2 linked regions of the Arabidopsis thaliana genome follow. The protein of the gene in region 1 interacts with the protein of each later gene in a pairwise test. Each region holds a gene or a part of one and is shown on either strand. Other genes may lie near its edges. The genes, in order: GATA26 and AT2G42660.

Region 1 (12,641 bases):
AGAAGATTCCGAAAAGGCTTTGGAGTGTTGGAAAAGAAGATCCGAGGAGAGTGATACATGCATTTAAAGTAGGTCATTCCTTGACACTCGTTTCTTTGCTATATTTCATGGAGAATCTCTTCAAAGGCATTGGAAGCAATGCTATTTGGGCCGTCATGACTGTCGTCGCCGTCCTCCTCGAGTTCTTTGCCGGTAAGTTATATACTATTTATTATTTTTACTAAGATTGTATAAATATTCATTTCACAATCAAAAGTAAGGTTACACAAATGAATAGCATAACCTATACATGGTCCCATGCCAAAAAAAAAAGTAAAAGTTTACTAAACATGGAAGCATACACATTCTTGAATCCAAAATTAGTTCACTCCTTAAGCAAAGATGCTCTTGGAAGAAGAATTGAATCAAGATCTAAAGAATCCCTAAAGTGAATTGGGAAGAGAAACAAGAGCGAAAGAGGGTACATACAGTGGAGGGCTTGACGATAAGCGAGAAAGTAATCCTTTCGATGGCAGCCCGAGGCAGAGAATCAGCTGCGGAACCACACGAGCGGAATGAGGCAGGCAATGTTTGCCACTCTATCAAGTTCCTCCCGAAGTCAATAGCACGGGCAAAGCAACATCATGTCCTTAACCAGCCATACTAGCATCACCAGCCGCTAAGACCAAACCCACATGAACCTTAACCTATTTCGACGCTTAACATGGAGCAAACACTTATCTGAAGCAGAGATCTAACATGAGACTGAGCCTTAGTGCAACAAGGAAACAATGAACTTGGACGCCAAAGCAGAAAACGAGCACGACATGCCCAAGAGATGCAAGGAGATACTAAAGGCATTAGCGATCTAAGGCAGCCCTCAATCCTTTGATCAAGTATAGCCTTAAAATCTCCATCCTAGACGAAACTCACAAGAACAGCCTGCTGAAGCAAACCTAGTCTCGGACAAGAAGCAATATAGTAAGTTATATACTATATATCTCCTTATATACATACATTTATTACAATCAACAATAAACCTACTAATTGATGTTTAATTTCATTCTAATGGTTATAGGAGCGGCTGCTACTTATATAAGATTTGTACCATACATAAAGAAGAATTACGATTACGGTGTTGTGATATTTCTCTTGACGTTCAATCTATAACGGTTTCAAGCTGTCGAGTAGATAGTGTGATAAACATAGCACACGTCACACGTACAATAGATTTTACACTATAGCTATTGGTTGCGGAATCTGTCTTTTCATGAGCCTTCTTGTTTTTCCTATTTGGTCTGGTGAAGATCTACACAAGACCACCGTCGGTAAACTCCAAGGCCTCTCTCGCTCTATAGAAGGTAATTCTCGGAAATATCATTTCTATGATTTGTTAACATTAACACCAAACTTATAATTCCAAAAATATTACTTAATTTAATCTTTTTTAATATATATATATAATTGTGTTTGTACGTATATAGAATGTGTGAATGAGTACTTTGAAGAGAAAGAGAAAGAAAAACCAGATTCAAAAACGAAATCTACGAAGGATATCAAGCTGTTTTGGATTCTAAATCAACTGATGAAACACTTGTAAGTCTCATTTTTTTATATATGATCACTATTTCAAGATTTTGTTTTTGGTAAAAGATAGAATTATATGAAATTAAAATGGAACTATTCAGGCATTATATGCAAATTGCAAATTATATGAAATTTTAAGCCATATTTCATATTTGGAGAGACGTGTTGTAAGAGTTAACATGTTGAGGGGAAAAAAAAAAAAAACAGAGTTAACATGTTATGTCGTTTCTTTCTCCGAAACAGAAACAACGTAGCGTTTTTGCACTCTACTACAAGTACAAACACACTATCAAAGAAACTAACAGTATTGATCATGGGCTCGTATTTAAAAGCCCACCACACCATGGGCTTGTTAGCAAAACAGAATTGATTTATTTGACCGTACTATAAATATGGAATTTGAAGTCTCTGCATTTGAAAATTCTCTTCTCTGAAGCATTATCAAGCAAAAGCAACAATGGAGGCGAACGGTACGATTTGGAGCCATGATTATCTCAGAAACTCTCATGAATTCTCTCCGGCCGTGCAGAATCATCTTAAGCGGGTAACGTCTTCATAATCTTCCACGAAAAGTTGTTGTTGTTTCTTGGAATGAGATTTGTGATACGATTGATTAGTGAATCATTTCGTTTCAATGCAATAGTTTGTTTCGTGATCTTGTTTTCAGTTTTGTATTGTTCTTGGTTCGCATCGTTGTGTTATTGATCGTTTGTATTTATTAGTGAAAAGAAACGCACTTCTTTGAGAGTTTTTATTGGTGTTTCTTGATTCTATATATGTTCGTTAAGTGTAAGTCTATCTCACGTTATTCTTTGCTCTTCTTGCGTCTGCGATTGGAGCTTACATTCACATGGTCTGGAATATCGGTGGAAATGTCAGTACTCTTGGATTCAGTGGAATCATGATTTGGTTGCGTTTCACTCTTTATGAACCTAACATGTGGGTTTCATTCATCACTTACACTTATTTTTCTTTGAAGATGAGTCCCTAACTCTGAATATCTTACAGTCTTGTTTAACTCAATGAACTTTATCTAATGTTTGCTTTTGATGCAGCGAAAAGGCTCTACCTTCTGTTTCTATTTGCCCTTCTTAAAGGTGCTTCAGTTGGTCCCATGATCATGCTAGTCATTGATTTTGACTCAAGGTGATTTCTATGTTCATGTCTTTAAAAAGAGACCTCTACATAAGCTTCTACGCTCTGTCAGTGTTGAATGTTTGTGTATACGGTTCCTTCTTTAAACCAGCGTCCTGGTCACTGCATTTGTGGGAACAGCAGTAGCATTTGTGTGTTTCTCCGCTGCAGCAATGTTGGCAACGCGTAGAGAGTACCTTTACCACGGAGCTTCACTTGCTTGTTGTATGTCCATCCTTTGGTGGGTACAAATTGCCTCTTCCATCTTCGGAGGCTCTACAACTGTCGTCAAGTTTGAGGTAAAAACTCTGTCTTCAAGAGGGAGAGAATTGTATGTTTGTTTTCGATAGAAGAGTACTTGCTTGTATTAACATACATTCTCATCATTTGCAGCTATACTTTGGACTCTTGATCTTTGTGGGATACATAGTGGTGGACACACAGATGATAACCGAGAAAGCACACCACGGTGATATGGACTATGTGCAACATTCTTTTACCTTTTTCACTGACTTTGCTTCTCTATTTGTTCAAATTCTCGTTCTCAACATGGTAAGTTCTTCCCTTAAACCCTTGGTGAGTTCATTGTTACCTCTAATGTCTCTCTATCTAATACAATTTCGTCTTATTTTGTGCAGTTTAGGAAGATGAAGAAAGGAAGAAAAGACCGAAGAAACTGAAACCACCAAATCAAAGTCTACATAGCTCAGAGTTTTAGTCAAATCACTCTTTTTACTTCTCTTTGACTAGTCTCTTTGCTATCATAAAAACTTCAGATTGTAAACGACTTTGTACTCTACTCTGGCTCTGGCCTTTACTGTCTAATATCAAATTTATAACAAAAATGCAAGTTAGGAGAAAGTCATAAGTGTACATGTTTCAAGAACTATTCCAATGTTTGGTCAAATCTTATGTTCTATTTGGATGGTTTAAAATGAGTAAACAATTTGATCTACAGTTTCTAGTATGAGTGAAAATTAAGATATTAGGGAAAATACTAGAGACTGTAACCACACTTTTTGTCTATGAGTCTATCTTACATTAGAAAGAAGCTAGTTGATATTTGATACTAAAATAATTTTCTGCTAATGGACATTGTTGCCATAGTAGTTGTGTTGCTGTTATTATTAGCGTATGAAAATGAAAATGGGTTTTGTAAATTGTGATTTGTAAGCACGATTGGGGCATGACTTTTTGTGTTTGACCTCTAATAGCACTCCAATTCTCATCGTCTTTTCTCAGCCGTTCGATCATACCTCCATCATTTTGCCTACACCTCTCACACCATTTCATTATTACATTACCATCGTTTCTTTTAAAAAAAGAATATATAGATCAGAGATGTGATTGGCATCTGAATTTCTGGTTACACTATTTTAAAATTTGGTAAGACTACTCTTCAATTCGGTCTCTGACACATTATTCTTCAGTTTTCGTAACTAATGCTCCATAACATTTTACCAATCACATTAGATTATATCGTTTACTTAAGAAAAAAAAATAGAACTATTTTTGTTTTCTTGTGTTTAAGATAAATTTTTTGGAGTAATGCTATCACTCGATAAGTTAACTTGGTTCGGTTTATTTACGTTGAATTGAGAATTCTTTATTGGTGCATTACACTATGTACGAAACCAAAGAAAAGAAACACAAAGAACTAAAGATCTCAATACATATACTACTAGTTAAATGCAAAAGAAAACCGAATATTATAATAAATTACACGTATAATATAATGTATGGTGTTGATATCGCATTAGTTCCCTAATCACATTCACAAATTACCAAAGAAACATAAGTAGGACCCATGTTTTGAATATCTTTAACTAAATCAAACGGTGGAGGGAGGAGTTGTGTCCATGATCGTCATGGTGGACGGTGACTTTACATACCATTTCTTTCTTTTTAACTTTGTTTTTTTTATGACACATATTTATCAATAATTTTAGTCTTTTCTTTGTTATAAGAAAAATATATATACCCCACTTAACAAAACTTATTCTACCAGCATAGTATTGTCACACATGTAAAAAAATAAGCAAAAATAACCTAATCTCTTAATCTAGTCGTTGACAAAACTTTAGTATTTGCTAAGTTATAAATAAATAAACAAGAACCCAATTATAAACCTTATTCAGCAAATCCAAAGGCATGAATAAATCTACCAATCGTTACGGTATTTAAAATACCGTATTGTACTATAGATTTATACTTTCACATTCTGTCGACACATTATTTTTTCTTGCACAACATTTTTTTTTTATTATATTTTTTTCTTGCAAAACATGAACAATATTATTGACAAAGAGTGTATGTATCTTATATAGTTTTTTTTTGATGTAGTTAATAATTTTAGAGAAAAAAAGCTTACCAGTGCTTTTTTCTTCCTCATTTTTTTTTCATAGTCATTAATATTTATAATTGTCGTTATTATATTTATTATACATGTTGGAAATATCAATAGTAAAACAAACAAAGAAAGAAAAGTCTATAGTCAACAAGAAGGATGGAAGCATTAGGCATAAGCAATAATATTCCTCCTACCCAAAATAATACTCCTATAACTTTTATATTAAATCTGATAGTCATAGATCTCATTTCTTGTTAAACTAATTTTCTAAAATGAAATCTCAAAATTTTATGAAAGGATGCTGAAACATTTACTTTCAAAAATAACAAAAGAAAACAAAATGAAATGAAAGTGGCCATTTTATGTCGACTAAAAAAGCCATTTTATATGATGTCAACAAATAAAGCCATTATATGCTGAAGTAATTTTTTATTTTTTTTTATCTAAAATGAAATTGAAAGGAGGAAAAAAAACATATTTCTTTTTTATGTAAGGAAGCTGAAACAATTAATTTCATCGTTACATAATAATAATGCAAATGAACAAAAATAAAAATAAAATAAAAAGAGAGACCATTTTATTATTATTATTATACACAAACAGTTTCTCGCTCTAAACCCTCAAAGTTGTTCTCTCTCTCTCTCTCTTCTCCTTTTTCACAGCCATTTATTAGATTCCTCTCTCACAATTAGTCTCTTCTCTTTTCTATTGGATTGTTGTATTAGACTGATAGCTCAAGGAACCCAAAAAACAAAAACCAAAAAAGATAACATAAATTATCTTCTTGAAATTGTTCTCTTTCTTGCTTTGATTTTTTCAATTTTCTTATACTGAGTTTTTGTATTTCTGTAAAATTTGCTTATAGGAGACTTTCTGGGTATCTTGGCTTCAATTTGCAGAAAACCAAAAAAAAAAAAAAACTTTTTTTCTGGGTTTTTTTCCTTAGCAGAGAAAAGGTTCTTAATAGTTTTAAGACTCTGGTTTTGTATATTCCAATTATAGCTGAATATTAAACACAATTTATAAAACTTAAATTTCTTTCCAAAAAATCTCTTCTTTTTAAGTCTATAAAAATTGCAACTTTCTTCTGAAATTATTCATTTTTGAAAAACACAAAAGAAACAAAGAGAGAGATAGAGATATTATGGGGAAGCAAGGACCTTGCTACCACTGTGGAGTTACAAGTGAGTGTCTCCAATTCCTATTTGATGATGTGAAAATCTGTATGAATATGAATATTCAACCTTTGTTTTTTTTACTTCTGGGTGAGATGCTCTCTTTTCTGGGAAAATGATTTGATTATATGCTTTTTGTGTAGCAAATTGTAATAATGATTGAAGTGATACAGCAAAGACTTCCTGGACTCAAGAATATCTATGAACATTTTGGAATTATGTTCCTTTAACTATATATATTGTTTCTGTTGAATGATCTTAAGTAACAACTGTTTGTGACTTGTGTTGTTGTTCTCAGTATGATTAGAACTAATGGATTAGGCAACAAAGACATGATCTTGGGATCTGAATTTGTGTTTATGATTCGCAATTGTTGTACAAAGAAGCTAAATTTTGTTCTGGTTGCTGCTTAAAGACTTTAAGATGTTTGGTGTTTTGAGATCATTGTTCTTCTGATTGATTTGGAGTTTGAATTTGCAGTATTAAGTCACATTTCAAGTGTTGTCTGATGTTGAACTCTTATGTTGTCTTGATTTCAAAGCTCAAATTTGTGAAATTTTGTTTCTTTCATTGAAACAGACACACCTTTGTGGAGAAATGGACCACCAGAGAAGCCGGTATTGTGCAATGCGTGTGGATCGCGTTGGAGGACAAAGGGAACACTTGTGAACTACACACCGCTTCATGCTCGTGCTGATGGTGATGAGAATGATGATCATCACAGGTTTCAAAGAATGAAGAGCATTTCTTTAGGCAATAAGAACAAAGAGATAAAGATGCTCAAGAGGAAAGCAATTCAAGAAAACATCATCATTAAAAGACCGGTCTTTGAATTCAGTTATGGTTTGAAGGCGGCTGTGATAGAGGAGGATGCTAGTAATAGATCGAGTTCCGGTTCGGCTGTATCAAACTCTGAGAGCTGTGCACAGTTTAGCAGTGCAGATGGGAGTGAGTTAACAGGTTTAGTTACTTTATTATTCTTCCGGTTGATCAACAATATGGGATTTTTAAAAGTGTCCATGTGAACTTTGTTTTTCCAGGTCCATCTCAATCTAATGCGTGGGACACAACTGTTCCTTGCAAGAGGAGGACGTGTGTGGGCCGTCCTAAGTCCTCTTCTGTTGAAAAGCTCACAAAGGACCTTTACAATATTTTACAAGAGCAGCAATCGTCATGTCTCTCAGTTTCATCAGAGGAAGATCTTCTTTTTGAGAATGAAATGTCAATGGTCTCAGTTGAGATTGGACATGGGAGTGTTCTGATGAAGAATCCCCACTCGTTTGCTCGGGAAGAGGAGTCTGAAGCCAGCTCACTCTCTTCGATTGAGAACAAGTCCTCCATCAGTGACGCATACTCACATTCCGTGAAGCGTGTTGAGATTGGAGCAGTGAGAGGTTCATATTATGGTGGACAAACAATAAAGCAAGAACAATTCAAGAGGTAAAGTATTTTTATTGTATCTTCAAGATATTCTATACATTAGCTCTCAGTTTAGTTAAGGATAATAATGGATCCTGTTTTTAATGGTTGGCAGAACCAAGTCTCAAACTGAAAGAGTGCATGTCCTGGGGAGTCATGGTTCACCACTATGTAGCATAGATTTGAAGGTAAGTTTCAAGCAACTCTCACCAAGTCTGTTCAATAAGTTAAATATTTGCATATGAAAGTCAAATTTTTAAAAATGACTCCAGGACAATGCCTAAACAATAAACTTCTTGCAGGATGTTTTCAACTTTGATGAGTTCATAGAACAATTCACAGAGGAAGAACAGAAGAAACTGATGAACTTGCTTCCTCAGATTGACTCTGATGACCTTCCTCATAGGTTCAAACCGCATTGCATTTTTTCTTAAAACAACTAAACCAGACCGTACAAAATTTATAATCTGTCATATTATGCCTTTGCAGCCTCAGAATGATGTTTGAAAGTGCTCAGTTCAAGGACAACTTCTCTTTGTTTCAGCAGCTCATTGCTGATGGTGTCTTTGATGTGTCTTCTTCCTCGGGGGCAAAACTCGAAGAAATCAGGACTTTTAAGAAGCTTGCTTTGACAGATTTTAACAAATCTCGTTTGGTGGAAAGCTATAACCTCCTCAAGGTTGGGCTTACTCTCATTGAAACACTGACATAATAATAACTTTTGGCCAGAGATTCACCGGATATGTGACTACAGGAACGCGAAAAAGGGACCGGAGATTCTGTTACTACAACTTCAAAAAGCTCAATCCCAAATGTACCTAAAAATATTGTAACCATTAAGAGGCGCTATGAAAACCAAATCCAAGTAAAGTCAGGTCAGTCTTAAGGACAATTTCAATCAGTCTTGCTGATTCTGCAATCAATCTTTGTGGTTTGTTGAGTTTCTTGTTGTGGTCACAGAGTCAAGGGGGCTAATGAGGAGCCCCAAAAGGGTGATGAAGATGAAAGCAAGCCATGAGACAGAGAACAATGTCTCATGCTTCAGACCAAGAAGCTTGGCTTCTGTGTTTGCACAAGAAGGTGGCTCTGCAGTGTTTAGCTATGAAGGTAATTGCAGTTCTGATCAAGATCTCCTTCTTCTGGACTTGCCGTCAAACGGGTCATTTCCTCAAGCAGAGCTACTTCACCAACTCTGAAAGGTCAAAGCTACAAAACCTCATTGAGCTTCTCAGAGCTTAAAGGAAGGATTCTTAAGCTCTCTATCTCTCTTCTTTGATGAGAGATATACTCTTAAGCTTTCTGAGAAAACGACCAAAATGAGGTTTCTGCTTTAGAAATTGGAATTTGCAGACATAAAAAAAGGAAGGATATTTATTTGAGTCTTGCTTGGGCTTCTCTTTGGTGGTTAAGTTTATAAAGTGGGTCTTATAATATACATACATATACATAAAGCCTCTTCTCTTACCTCTCTTTCTGTGACCCTTTTAATTTTAAACTTGAAAGTTCCATCTTTTTTGGTTTCTTATCTTTGGACTTTTTTAGTTTCTGCTTTTTTTTTTGTATAGGATGAAAAAGATACTGTAATATCATGTAAACTTCCGAAAATGCAGAAAATGGAATACATGAGTACTACTTTATCAGAATTTTGGGAGTAATGCAAAAATACCAAGAGTTGTCCAAACTAGAAAAGAATACCTCTTTTCCTTTTTCCTTTTTTGTGTATGTGAAAAGATTAATGCAAAAGACGTTGATGCGCTTGCTTTAGTATATGTATAAACACTTTTTTATTTTATCTTTATAATCAACTATCAACTTTATAATTCTACCACTTGAATTACAACAAATTTTCAGTTTTAACGTGTTTTCTTTGAAATTTAGCAATGGACCAAAGCGACAAGAACCCTAATCGGCGGCTCCGAGTGATTCCCAAGTGGTCGGAGCTTTGTCCGGACTTGTTACGAAGTATTTTCGAACAACTGAGTTTCACAAATCTCAATCGAGCAAAATTAGTTTGTAGGTCATGGAACTCTGCTTCGAGAGGCTGCGTTCCCAAACGAAATCAGATTCCGTGGATGATACTTTTCCCTCAAAAGAGCGAAAACAATAGTAGCAATAACTGTGTTTTATTCGTTCCTGATGATAACGACAAAGTTTACAAGACTCGAGATCTCGGTGTTGACTTTGCACAAAGTATTTGTCTTGCGACTTACGGTAGCTGGCTCTTGATGTTTAACCATCTTCGGAATCTCTACATTCTTAATCCATTGACGTTAGAGAGGATTGATCTACCACATTCCACCTCTATCAATCCAAATATGTGCTATCCAAACTTCAAATACTACCGATCAGCTTGTCTCTGGATAAACAACATAACCAAAGATTACCTAGTTGTTTGGCCCATCTATAACAAATGTTTTTTTACAAAGAAAGGTGATGACACATGGCGATTCGCTCCCGCTTGTCACATTCGGATGAAAGATCAAATTATCTATAATCACAAAGATCACAAGGTTTACCAGTATGCTTCCTATGGCTTTATCTATGTTTGGGATTTCTCTAGTGATATCCCTCATGTAGATAAGCATCTACCAGCTGTTAGCTTCATTTCTGGCCGTGAGATTGGTGACAAGAACAAATACTATAGGATAAGTCATCAGATGGTGATGTCATTGTCTGGAGAAGTTGTGGTGGTAAAAATAATGCACTACTACGACCTCTCAAGATGGCGTTTTCGCATCTTCGAGTTAAATCCTCTGACGCAGAGATGGGTAAAAGTCGATTCTTTAGGTGATGCGGCTATAATCTTGGACATGGGTATCACTGTTGTCGCTAAAGATATTCCAGGGATCAAGAAAAACTCCATTTATTTCAGTGGCCTCAACCACCCCTTAACGGATCCCGAATGTAGATTTGTCTATGATCTCACAACCGGCACCATGGAACCTTTGCCACAATGCGTTCTCTCCTCCATGCTCTTCTCTGATTCTCGATGGTTCTTACCTGGTTTCACCAGTTAATTGGACATGTTTCTGCTTCTTGTTCCATTTTTTTTTGTTTTTAAATTATTAATACCTTTGCTTTTACTTAGTCTTTTGATGGTTAGTTTCTTTGTATTATGCATATGTTTTAGACTTCATGACTTCAAGGTGTTACGTGTTTCAATTATCTTATTTGTTACCAGTAGTAATAGTTTGGTTAGAACTTCGATGATAGAGGTTTTGGCACACTATGATTCGAATCTCATTATGTGACCCAAAAAAAGAAAAAGAAAAACAAATCATAAGGGAATTCATCGACCACATCCTAATACAGTAATATCTATGCTGAATGATTCATAGAGATTAGGGTAATTTAATAATAAAAAGTTGGGTTCCACCTTCACAAGATCAAAATTCAAGATTCGAATAGTTGAGACGAAGTCCCAAAAGAAATAAGACGAGAACATGTCTTCTGTTTTTGTTCCTGAAGACCCTCAAGAGTCAAGACACACCAAACAACATATGCACAGAACACAGACTCATTCATACATAGTTTCTATTAAAGTATGGACTTTAGGTCATCCTAAGCCATATATCATTCATTATCAAACAAGGAACAGGTCTACATCCATCAACCGGAAGTTCAACTAATCTTAATTTACTTTCTCAGAAAATGTGCAGGGAATGACTTACAGGCTTAAAAAAAAGAAAGAAAGAAACAATTCTTACAAAAAAAGAGCACAATGCGGAAGATTACTACCTCTGGAGGTCAAACACAGCACGGTGGATGGTGTTCACTTGAAAGTGGACAGACGAGGAAGCTTGTCCCTCAGATAGTAAAGCCTTGCTCTTCTTACTTTCCTGTGACTCACCACTTTTATCTCTTTGATGTTGGGAGAGTATCTGTCAAATCAAACGATTAGGAGAATCAACACATACCAAACACTTTTCTTAATTCCCACATGGTAAGAAAATAACCGATATATCACAGGAAGTTTCTCGAGACTCGTATGTTATACAGCAGAATGAAAGATAGTAAACATGAGCAGACATGATAGTTGCCATAGTGATTCAGGCTGCCATAACTGGGAAGGTATAACAGCAACTAAAGACTTATTACAGTAAAACCTCTGCACAGAGTCTAACTATTATACAGGGACTTTATGTAAGGTAACACAAAGTATAACTCAGTATCTATGTATAAACTTGGTTTTATTGAAAAGCTCAGAACATGTGAAAAGACTCATAATCAAAGTAGGTCATACCAAATGGTCACTGGAGAGGGGAAAAAACTCACATGGGAAACACAATTTCAACACCGATACCCGCAATAATTCTCCGAATACGAATGGTAGTGTGTATGCCTGCATTTTGTCTCGACATCACTATGCCTTTGTAGATAGATAGCCTACGTTTGTTCTCAGGAACTTCCTGCCAAGCCAAACACCATATCCCACCAATAATCAAAAACATCGATTCAATCCATAACTTAAGAGGCTTCAAAAATATCAACAACTTACCAATTTGATTTCTACAATATCTCCTGTCCTGATTTCTGGAACAGGTCTCACTTTCTCTGCTACCTCAATTGCTTTCTGGTTCAGTATCTACAACAATCAACAGATAATAACATTCAATCTCCCTCAACATTGCCTATAAGATAACTATAGAAAAAGCAAGTCCCTCAACACAAATGTGTACACAGAGACTTACTGATTCCTAATTGCTAAACACTCATAATTTGGATTACTGATAAACAAAGAAGTTCACTAACCCCCATGACATCTCCGAGCTTGATCCTAGGTTTTCTTGTAGGTTTAGCTTCGACCACTTCCTCTACATTTCCTTCCGTATCAGCGATTTCAGCAACAAATTCTTCAGATTCAGCTTCTGTGTTACCTTCTTCTGCTCTAACGATAAACTCATTTCTCACCCTAGTATCGAGTGAGAACCCAAATTTCGAGCCGGGATGATTCAGAGAAAGCCTAGAAACTGATATACGAGAATCCATCGATGGTG
Region 2 (10,586 bases), on another chromosome or scaffold:
GATAAGATAAAGTAACAAAATGACATGCATTGTCGCCAAAGTTAGTTCACTAGAAAATGAGATGATAAAAAGATGCTCGCCCATTCTTACCAGTCCAGCAATTTTCTTAATAACTTTATCGGAGTCCAATCCTGTGACAAGTTTGATGACAAACTCCTTTATCAAAACAAGCTGTATATCGTTCTTAAGATCTACAAAAATCGCATCAGCCTTAAGACGATCTTCCCCCAGCGCATTAATTTCTTCCAATGTAGGAATGCTTTTAAAATGCATCAATCTCTCAACCTGTTGAAAAATTCAACAACATAATAAGATAAGAAAATGATTGTTGACAAACAGCAGCACGTAACCAAGCATTAATAAAGCTAACTGAAATATTATTGGACAAAGATAATACCAACCTAAAGATAGCTTACCGGGATCACAGTGTAAAAACCACTTGGGATCGGGTCTGATAAGGACCCAGTACTCCAAAAAATATTCGATGCTTCATAACTTGACACCCCATCTTGATCAAGATTAGAGGTTTCTGCTAGTGATCCCTGACATACAGGCACGTATATCTTCTCAACTTCTGAAGGCCTCAAGGTAGGACTTGGTGGATTTGGTTCTGATGGTCCAGCATCATCAGTATTAGAGGTTTCTACTAGTGATCCCTGACATACAGGCTCGGATGTCTCCTCAACTTCTGAAGGCCTCAAGGTAGGACTTGGAGGTCTTGGTTCTGATGGTCCAGCAGCATCTCTTGCCTCTACCACAGTCATCTCCCTAAGGTCTAAAATCACAAGAGTGTCTCCTTAGCCCATAGGTTTCACTCAAGAAAAGACGAATAACGTAGGTACCAAAATATTAAGAATCAAACTTCGCTTACCAGTAGCTTGGACCTCTAGGTCAGCTAACCTACATAGGCAAAAGCAGAATGGTTAAGTAAATATAGACTCGGATATACTGTTGCAGAAATAAATGTTTCAGTGACATACTAAGTTGCATTCCATATATTCCTTATCAAAGCATTTAACTAGTAGACAATTCTCAAAGACTGGCTACAAAACTTATTCAAAGTGTTGGACTTTTCGATACTTATAGAAGAGATTCACTTCAATAATTCAGCCTCAGAACTTACGACAAGATCACGGAACCATTTGATTCCACCACTGATCCTCGGTGACCTCTGCAACACTTAGCTCCCATTTTCAAGTCCTCGGTTGCAAAATTTCAAATTCCTGCATAGATTTCAAAACCCATTTCAAAATAAAATCCCACCAACTTCGATGGATTCAAACACACAAGAACCCATAAACCAAACGGTCTAAAATCATATAAGAAAAGGCTAAAGAGCAAAAGAAGAATAAGGGTTTATGAAAAAACTCACAGAAAGCAGATAAACGTCCTTCCAATTCCAAAATCCAGCAATCAATCTGCTTAAATCGCACTGCGAAACAAGAGAAAGACAGAAGAGAGATCTGAAGATTGCCATGATCAAGCAACAAAGAGCTAAACGTACACACATATAGAGTATGTGTACGTATATGCATAGAGATTTGCAACAGAGATTCATGAGATAAAAATTGGATTTTGGAGGTTTTGAAAGTTTTGATTTTGATGGCGGAAGAAGCAAAAACACAGTCAAGGGGTTTTACGAAAGTGACGAAGCAAGTCACGTGCGAGGGATTATGAGTCACGTGCCGAGAAGCACTTATTCACAGGATATATTTCATAAGTACAATTTTGTCCTCTACCTACATGGATTGTTTTTGTCATCCATTTCTATCTCAAAGATCTTCGAAACAAGATACATATTTGATAGTCATTACACTATGAATGACAATATATTATCAGATTGTTCATGCATATGAGATAGATTTCTTAAAAGAGGATGATGTAAATGAACAAGAATCTAACAAGAGTTTGATGAAAAATGAGGATGAACTTTTTTTGAAAAGAGTATAATAGAAAATCAACGAATGTATTCAATCTTCGAAAAAGATTGCAATAAGAATGACTCAAGAGAATTCATCCTACTTCAATATTGATGTTGATTATGATACTTACACGTCAACAACAACAGATCATCAAAGTGTTTGGCAGTGCGGCTATTTCTTTGTTTGTCAAAAACCTGACATTTCTATCATTTCATGTATTCTCTCAATGAACTCAATAAGATATCACACATTTTGGTTTATAAAGAAATCCCTCCATTTATATAGTACTTACATAAAGAAAAGTGTTTGAGAATTTTGTTTTGGTTATCTAAATATTGACATTTTCAATTAATGTGATTCTCACTTTTTTCTTAAAGAAATATTTATTTTTAAAGTTTGAAGAGCTATAAGAGGAATTAGACATTTTGCGAAGGGAATAAAAACTTGAAAATAAAGAAAACAATTTTATTAATAATTATATTGTCCAGGTGTATATACTTTATTTCTTTGTATATAAAAATTAGCATCAAATATATTTGGTAAGTACGTTTTAGACAAGTATGGTAAATGACAGCCAAGTACTACATGACTCATATTTTATATAATTAATTTCATATTTTAAATTTATATCTATATCTACATTAACATGAAATAAAAAAGATTTCATGTATTGATAAAATAAGCTAGTTTGTCATAATTTCCTATATCTTAAATCTTACCAATTACCATCTTCTAAAAGTTTCTCTTACCACACAAAAAAAAAATCTTCAAAACATTTCTCCTATGCAAAACTTGAGGACAATTTATAAAACAACATAGTTAAGCCCATTAACTAATATTATGGGCCTTAAGAAACGCAAAACAAACTCGTTTAATAGAAAAGATTTCTCCGATGCAAAAACTTGAGGACAATTTATGAAAACAATATAATTAAGCCCATTAACCAATATTATGGGCCTTAAGAAACCCAAAACAAACTCGTTTAAAAGTCATCGTCCTCCGTAAACCCTGAATCTTCCTTCACAGAACCCTAAATAACTTTTCTTTTCCTCCGACCACCGCAGCTCAGCCGCAACCGCCGCCACCACTTATGTCAAGAGTAAGTCCCAAGACTGTGGACGATGCAGTTAAGGCTCTGGTCAAAGAGGGAAACGAAAAATCAAGGACGGAGAAGCCACAGCTTCTAGAAGAAGACGGATTCTTTTACCTAGTCGTAGCCCTAAAGAAGATTCCACAGAGGAATTTTACGAACGCTTATCGTATTCCTCTCCCGCATCCGCTAATTAACACTACCGAAGACTCACCGGAGCTCTGTCTCATCATCGACGACAGACCTGAAAGTGGTCTCACCGAGGAAGATGCGAAGAAGAATATCAAATCAGAGAACATACCAATCACGAAAGTTGTTAAGCTTTCGAAGCTGAAATCGGATTATGGATCATTCGAATCGAAACGGAAGCTTTGTGATTCATACGATATGTTTTTCTCAGATCGGAGAGTGATTCCTATGTTGCCAAAATTGATTGGGAAGAAGTTCTTTCAGAGCAAGAAGACTCCTGTGGCTATTGATTTGAAGCATATGAATTGGAAAGAGCAGATTGAGAAAGCTTGTGGTGCTGCTATGTTCTTCATGAGGACTGGGTCTTGTAGTGCGATCAAAGTTGCGAAATTGTCCATGGAAAGCGATGATATCGTTGAGAATGTGACGGCGACTTTGAATGGTGTTGTTGATGTTTTGCCTAGTAGGTGGAAATACATAAGATCTTTGCATTTGAAGTTATCTGAGAGTTTATCTTTGCCATTATATCAGACAGTGCCTTATTTGCAGCTCAAGATTGATCCTTTAGGTGTTGAAGAAGTTAAGAATGGTGAAGGATTAGCTAAAAGTGATGTTGATGATAGTAGTAGTAAGAGTGTGAAGACAAAGAAGAAGAATGGAAAGATTCATGAGGTTAGATATATGGATAGTAATGTATCTGAGACTCTTGGTGATGATGAATTCGATAGGAGTGTTGGAGAAGATGAGGTTGCTGATGATCTCAATGCTTCTGGAGATAAGAAGAAGAGGAAGAAGATGAGTAGTAGTAAGTCTGCAGTGAGTGGGAAACCAGACATTGTGAAGAGTAAGAATGGGCAAAAGTCGAAAAAGCTAAAGAAGGACATTGATGAGTCTGGTGGTGGATTCAAAGCTAAGACTAAGAGGAGGTGAACCAAGAAAAGAAGATTTTATATTAATGTCGTTATAACTAAGTATTCTATTCTTTCTGCTTGAGTGATTTTTTTGGATACTGATTATGACTTTGTCTTATTATGGTATCATCATCATGATTCTTATATATTTAGGACTTTTATTATCGTTTACTATTTCATCAAACTAGTGACTTGCCATGTAGTTGATTTGGTGGTTTTGACGAGGAAACATATTATTACATGTGTTTTGTTGCATTCCAGAATTGGTGTTGTATTGAATGCAGAGAAACCGCTAAGGATAAGTACTTGCAGGATCTGACTCAAGCCTGATCCAGATCCTGGCTAAGTACTCATCCCATGAAACGGCTAAGGAAAACAAAAGTCTCTACTCTTGAATCTCTTTTAAAGTTAAACTTCATCTCTCTAGTATGTTGGTTACGGTTCTGATGATGTCGACAACAGAGAGAGCGAGAGCATTGTGTTGATATCATCTGTTGGTTTTTGCCTGCAATTTCCAAACTCAGGCAACTGTATCCCACCTCCGGACATTGATTTCAATCGTTTGACTGATGATACTTCTTCATCTCGGACTCTTTTCTCATTGTTCTTCTTCCTAATCTGCATAAGATTTCACCAAGATTACAGTACCTTCCTCGGTTTTTAACAAAACTGTTCCTCTATAACTCTTAAAACGAAAGTAGGTAGTTACCTCGAGTAGAGGCAGAGTCTTGTTCTCTGTGCTGTCTCGGTCATTTCTGCATAACCCGCTAAACCAGCTCGAAGGTCGCATAAGAAAGTTACCTCCAAGATTTGTAACGACCGCGTCTTGATTGAGTACCCTACAGAAAAGAATGCAATTTTAACTTCCTTGGTCGGATCGGATATACAAATGTGAAACATTTTAGTAACTGGAACTTGTTTCTTTGTATGACCTCGAAGGAACGGTTTTAGAGTTATAGGCATGTCTTAAATCGCTATGAGGGATACATCGAGAGTCGATCATGTCCATCAAATAGCTTCTTTGTCCACTCATGAAAGCTCCAAATCCTGTTCAAAAGTCATTTCCATCAATTATGAAACCCAGTGAAGGAATGGTAAATGTCTGCGGATCAAAACTAACTTACCAGGGCGAGAAGACGGCTCGAGCTTCTTACTTCGATACATCTTGAAATCAGAAACATGAAAACATTGAAAAAGATGAACAAAACTGAGATAATCTTAGAATAACAGACGATGAAGATTACCTGTAAATGACTCTTGACATGTGCAATACTCAATCCTTTTAGATTCATCATCTCAAGAACCAATTTCGGCGTCGCTCCTTTAAAATCATACAACAATTACATTACAAAGCTGAGAGAGAGAAAGAGAGAAAGAGACGTGGAGAGAGAGAACAAGAATCCTACTGTCTGGACCGCCTAGTCGTTGGACAGCACGAACGAAGGAGAGATGAAGATCAGGCGTCCAACGAAGCCGAGGCATGTTGGACCGAATATACTGTCTAACGTTATTCGTGATTTGGTCTTCGTCTTCCACTGATGACTCTTCTTCATTGTTCTTCTCCACTGTTTCTTCTCTGTTCAGGTCAAGCCACGTGGAGCATTTTCCCGGCGAAGATCTCCCGGCCATGTCTCTCCGGCGAGAGTGTCTTTAGCTAGCTCTCGAGATCAATTACTCAAAAACAAACAAAAAAAAACCCATGAGAGAGGTTAAATCTCTATGATAATTTCGGCGTTGGCTTCAATAATACTAGCTATAATCATATATATACACTTATAAGTATATAATATAGTCTTATTTGTCGTAAACTATAGTATATAATTATATAGATATATAAAATTCTTATCTATGTCATGCATGTTTACGTATAATTGTATGTTTTTTTTTAATGGAAAAGTGTGTTGGAATCTTCCGTTTGGTGAAATCACATTAGTTATTAGGTTTTGCTTCATTTTTGTTAACATACCAGAAAAATATCCGTTTGTTCTTTTAGTGACAATGACATGTAAACTTATCTCCTTTACTTCTTAAAAATAATATCTTTCTTTAAACAAGATTTAAATATGGTGAATTTGAATATGAATTCAGATTCCAAAAACTATACCATTTCTTAAAACATCTTCTGTTTACCTAACGTGCCTTTGATATATATCATGTGACAATGGCTAGGCTATTTAAATTGGTTAATTAATCATATATTTGATATCAAGCATATTGGTTCAAATAGTCCAGTCTATATGTATACACAATTGGCAGTCGAATATTTTGTGTCATTAGAATTGTTGTTTTGTGAATGATGTATCAAACATTTCAATCCGACCAAACCACTCTTGTTTTTCTAACAATTTTCTCTTTAATAATTTCCAATTAAGTTGACCTTTGCCGGAGACTACGCTTTACCCTTTTGTCATATTAAACCACGTTTTTGAGTGTCTCCAAAACAACTTAAAAAAATAAAAATCAGATTAGCATTGGGGAACTCAAACGGAACATGAGAACTATCGATCTAAGCCGATTGATTCGAACCCTGATAGACAAAAGGTACAAACTATTGTCTACCTCTCAACCGATTACTATGTGGTGGAATGAATTACGTTTCTACGCATTTGGTTTTATCATGATGGCTATTGATCTATATTCATGTTTCTCATATACTTAGGTTAAATACATGACGGTCTTCAATCCCAACGTTTGAAAACAGAATTTAAATAAAAACTTAAGAGAGAAGGGAGTTTTGTCAAATGGTTAAGGATGTGATTCCCAAAGATTCTTGAGTTCACGTATGTACAAAACAGAAGTTGTCTTTATCTTTTTGGTTTTATTATTGGTGACCCTTTTCAATGGGCATTGGGTTACACACCTCCATATATTAGTATTTGGTTTCTCTTCGAGAATTGGCTAACTATATGTTTTTGTAGGGCTTACCAACTTACCAATCAGTATATAATTCGAGAGAGGTAACTAATAAATAATTACGGGTATATTATCTTTGAATGCAATTTTTTAATTGTTCAAATTAGGCAAAGCAACTTTCTTTCTAGAGTGCAATCTTTGTCTTTATTGTCATCTTGTGAGTTGAATTAGTATTTGTAAACATAGATAAGCTGTCGTTAATCATAAATTCTCAAAATAAGTTTCAAATCAAGAAAAATAAGTACAAACACTTTTTACAAAATTGAACCAAGTTTTATGTGAAATTAATAAGGACCTCAAACCCTACACCAAATTAATTATAAATCGTCCCGATGCAAATTTCCGACACTCTATGTCTATGCACACACATATCTATACAAGCATTTTGGAACATATATGAAAACGCGATGGGATCAAATTTCAACGCTCGTATTCATATAAACACAGCTTGAATGTTATAGAATTTCTATGAAGTCTTTTACCATGATCGCCCTCGATCTTCAAATCTAGGGTTATGGACAGATAGAGAGAGAAAGAAAGATAGGAGATGAGAGAGAAGAGAAGATAGGACAAACATTCGAAGTAATTAACTAAGATTGAAGAGAGCATTGATGGGAGAGAAGGAATCGTAGAGGCTCATGTGGGCACTAAGAAAGATGAGGAAACTTTGTTTTGTCCTAACCTGTTTACGTACCGACACTTCATTCACAATTCCTCCATTTCCCATGCTCTCTTTTTATGGAATATATAATTTCAAATTGTTTCAATAGTTCTTGAATTTCTTTAAACGACATGAATTTCTTTGGTTAAGAGAATCTTTTGTCGAGTTCTACTTCTTCCAAGAAAATTCTTTTATATTTTACCATTTCAGAGGATTTTTTTTTTTGTGAATGTTTACTAGATACGTTTTATATGTACAAACCATTTATTTTTTGACAAAAAATATAACAACTGTTTCCCTAAAGGACGTTTTATATGCACAAAACCATTTTTAAATGTAAAAAGGACGTTGATCCAGTTGATATATTTATTTATTATGCATGCAAGAAGCTAAAAAATTCTGCATGTTGCCCTAAAGAATCGCCGCAAAATGAGGCACCGTCTTTGAATTCTTCCTCATCACATGCCTACGTATCTTTAGGACCATGATTATTAGCTTCGATCTTCTTTTCTCAAAAGTTTTATTTATACACTCATAAGAAAAATGCATTATAATGAAGAGTAACAATTAACAAATTAATAACGTAACATAGTAATGGTTTCTCTTGATCTTTTCTAAGTTGTTTCCATGCTTACTTTTGTTCGTGGTTGCGTACTTGCGTTCAAAGCGGTTGGGATCAAAGGGTATCACACCTCAATCAGCATGTTAAAAATTTCCACGATTATATAAACTTTACTCATGAAGGAACGGGCTCATCTATTTCAATTTTCAACCATGATTACCCCGAAATGCTTTCTTTATTCTCTTTATAATCCTGGTCTTTGGGTCTAGGTCTAGGTCTAGGTTGGGACCATATCAATGTTCGTTGTTAAACATTTTGTTTTTTTTATAACCAAAGAATCTGGACCAAAATCTAGACTATTCTCATTTGCCCTGTAGATTACAAATCGGATATTCTTACCATTTAAGACGTCTAGTATTGAAATCGCAATGCAAATTTTTTGGATCCTAGTCCCTAAGCCCATGCTTCAACTACATATAAACCACTATGATTCTATGAATTAGTTTGGTTGTTCAACTTCATCATCATAAATAATTGATAATTCTGATTTTCTTCATGAAAACCGAAATGGATAAAGTGGAGAGCTAATTTATCCATTGACCAAAAAATAAAACGAGAGGAATGAAATTCCATTGAAATCCACTAAGCAAATAGAGTGTATCCACTAATTTTATGATAATATCCACTAAGTCCTTACGTAATAAAGACTCAGCCAGCCGCTTGGTAGAGGGAGATGGGATTTAGTCTTACGTAGTAGCCAGAATGTGATTTTGTTTTTTGTTCAGTTTTGCTTTGTTAGACTTAGAAAAAGCCAACGACGCCATTTCATTCCCTTATTTTTTAAAAACAGTAAGATCACACATCCCATGAACTTTACTCCGATTTCCAAATCAATCCCAACTTAGTTACCAACTGCACAACCTACAAATTGGGCGTATCGGGGCAACTTCTATGCTGGTGTGACCTTACCATATGAAGGAAGAAACACAACTATGCAAAACGAGGTTTAAGGATTTTGTAAACACAACCATTAGAGAAGTCTAGTACCGAAGACTAAAAACCATTAGAAGTCTTTTGCAATATAATGAAACGGAGACACACGGTGTATCACAAATTAGTATGTACAATCCCGTTTGCAATATAAAAAGACCCCCCAAATTATTTCCGAAAGGAATATAAATAAAAAATAAAAACCCGAAGCCGCCCAAATTATGTGACAAGTAAAGATTAGATCATCATCAAGTTCTAATGACAGGACCTCTGTACGGAATTCGTCGTATCACAAAGTCATCAGGCGGTTGAAATTCCTCAAGCCATGTCACGTCTGTGACCACTTCTCCATCCACTTCTAATTCACCTGCTCCAGTTCACAATCCAAATCAATATCACTAAAGGTTCTAATATGGTTCTGGGATCGGGTTTTTGGAGAGCTTAGTTGTATTACCTGGTAAGTCTTCTCTTCTGGATTTCCGGAAGTAAGTGCAATGCCGATCATGCTCTGAAGAGTAAGGTGGAGCTAAGATGTCAAGAATAGCACAATGGGTGATGGCTTTGAAACAGTGAATGTTGCCACCACTTTTCGGATATAATGTTGTTACTGGGCTTTGAGCCGTCATCTCAGTATCCTTCACCAGTTTAGCAGGTCTTGCTTCTTATGAATCAAAATAGTTTACAATTAGACCAGAAGAGTGATTGGATAAAAACTGAGAGAGTAACAGAAAGAAGACGGTTACCTTGTGATGGATCCTCTGGTTCGGTCAGTTGAGGCTCTAGCCAATCATATGACTTCACATGCATTGAACCATAAACGAGCTTGCTTAGCACGGTCATGCCCGGATGGTTATGAAGAGGTATCATAGAAGAAGGTGGCATACAGAAGATTCCTATCTGTTTTGACAACAGAGGCAAAATGAACCAAGTGAGAGATAACATTGGTGGCAGTATCAGGAAGATAAAACACCCAACTAGAGACAGACTCAGAATTGACTCGAACTGTGTTTACTCATACTTTCTAGACCATTTGTCATAGGCTTTTTTGCAGACTTCAGGCTCATGGCTTGAATAGTTGGTTCCTGAGATTCTCTCAAGGACCATGTTTGGATGCCCCCCTATTCCCCTAATTTTGAATATGCGGAAAAGGAGAAGATTAAATATCCACTAAAATTTTTGTCTCAGGATTGGCTATAGAGTGTTTTAACCTTGAACGGTATTTGCATATTATTCCAAGCAGAACCATTGCTACTTAAACCTAGGAAGTTAAAATGGGACTCTTATGCTATTTTGTATCTGAATCATCCTAAAGTGGATCACAAAAGATTCACCCAAACCTTAAACAGCA

The links.
Region 2: the proteins of GATA26 (region 1) and AT2G42660 interact in a two-hybrid assay, tested with the Arabidopsis thaliana proteins (one large-scale study listed by BioGRID).

The regions. Positions count from the first base shown.
Region 1 is NC_003075.7:9,780,528-9,793,168, reverse strand, and holds GATA26 (GATA transcription factor 26), read left to right. Parts: upstream 1-5,670; 5' UTR 5,671-6,006; exon of another isoform or gene 6,007-6,194; coding exon of another isoform or gene 6,195-6,234; intron 6,235-6,523; 5' UTR 6,524-6,524; coding exon 6,525-6,600; intron 6,601-6,804; coding exon 6,805-7,185; intron 7,186-7,265; coding exon 7,266-7,665; intron 7,666-7,759; coding exon 7,760-7,832; intron 7,833-7,946; coding exon 7,947-8,050; intron 8,051-8,133; coding exon 8,134-8,323; intron 8,324-8,398; coding exon 8,399-8,519; intron 8,520-8,604; coding exon 8,605-8,840; 3' UTR 8,841-9,281; downstream 9,282-12,641. Other genes in the region: AT4G17585 (aluminum activated malate transporter family protein), read left to right, coding at 1-192, 471-646; AT4G17580 (Bax inhibitor-1 family protein), read left to right, coding at 2,024-2,110, 2,234-2,273, 2,361-2,505, 2,629-2,712, 2,813-2,999, 3,094-3,252, 3,339-3,380; AT4G17565 (F-box protein (DUF295)), read left to right, coding at 9,525-10,661; AT4G17560 (Ribosomal protein L19 family protein), read right to left, coding at 11,417-11,525, 11,920-12,053, 12,143-12,229, 12,397-12,641.
Region 2 is NC_003071.7:17,762,518-17,773,103, forward strand, and holds AT2G42660 (Homeodomain-like superfamily protein), read right to left. Parts: upstream 5,863-10,586; 5' UTR 5,742-5,862; coding exon 5,519-5,741; intron 5,434-5,518; coding exon 5,357-5,433; intron 5,277-5,356; coding exon 5,237-5,276; intron 5,160-5,236; coding exon 5,045-5,159; intron 4,952-5,044; coding exon 4,822-4,951; intron 4,731-4,821; coding exon 4,548-4,730; 3' UTR 4,533-4,547; downstream 1-4,532. Other genes in the region: AT2G42640 (Mitogen activated protein kinase kinase kinase-like protein), read right to left, coding at 91-285, 417-775, 872-900, 1,124-1,191; AT2G42650 (Ribosomal protein L1p/L10e family), read left to right, coding at 3,013-4,131; AT2G42670 (2-aminoethanethiol dioxygenase, putative (DUF1637)), read right to left, coding at 9,487-9,605, 9,693-9,899, 9,982-10,135.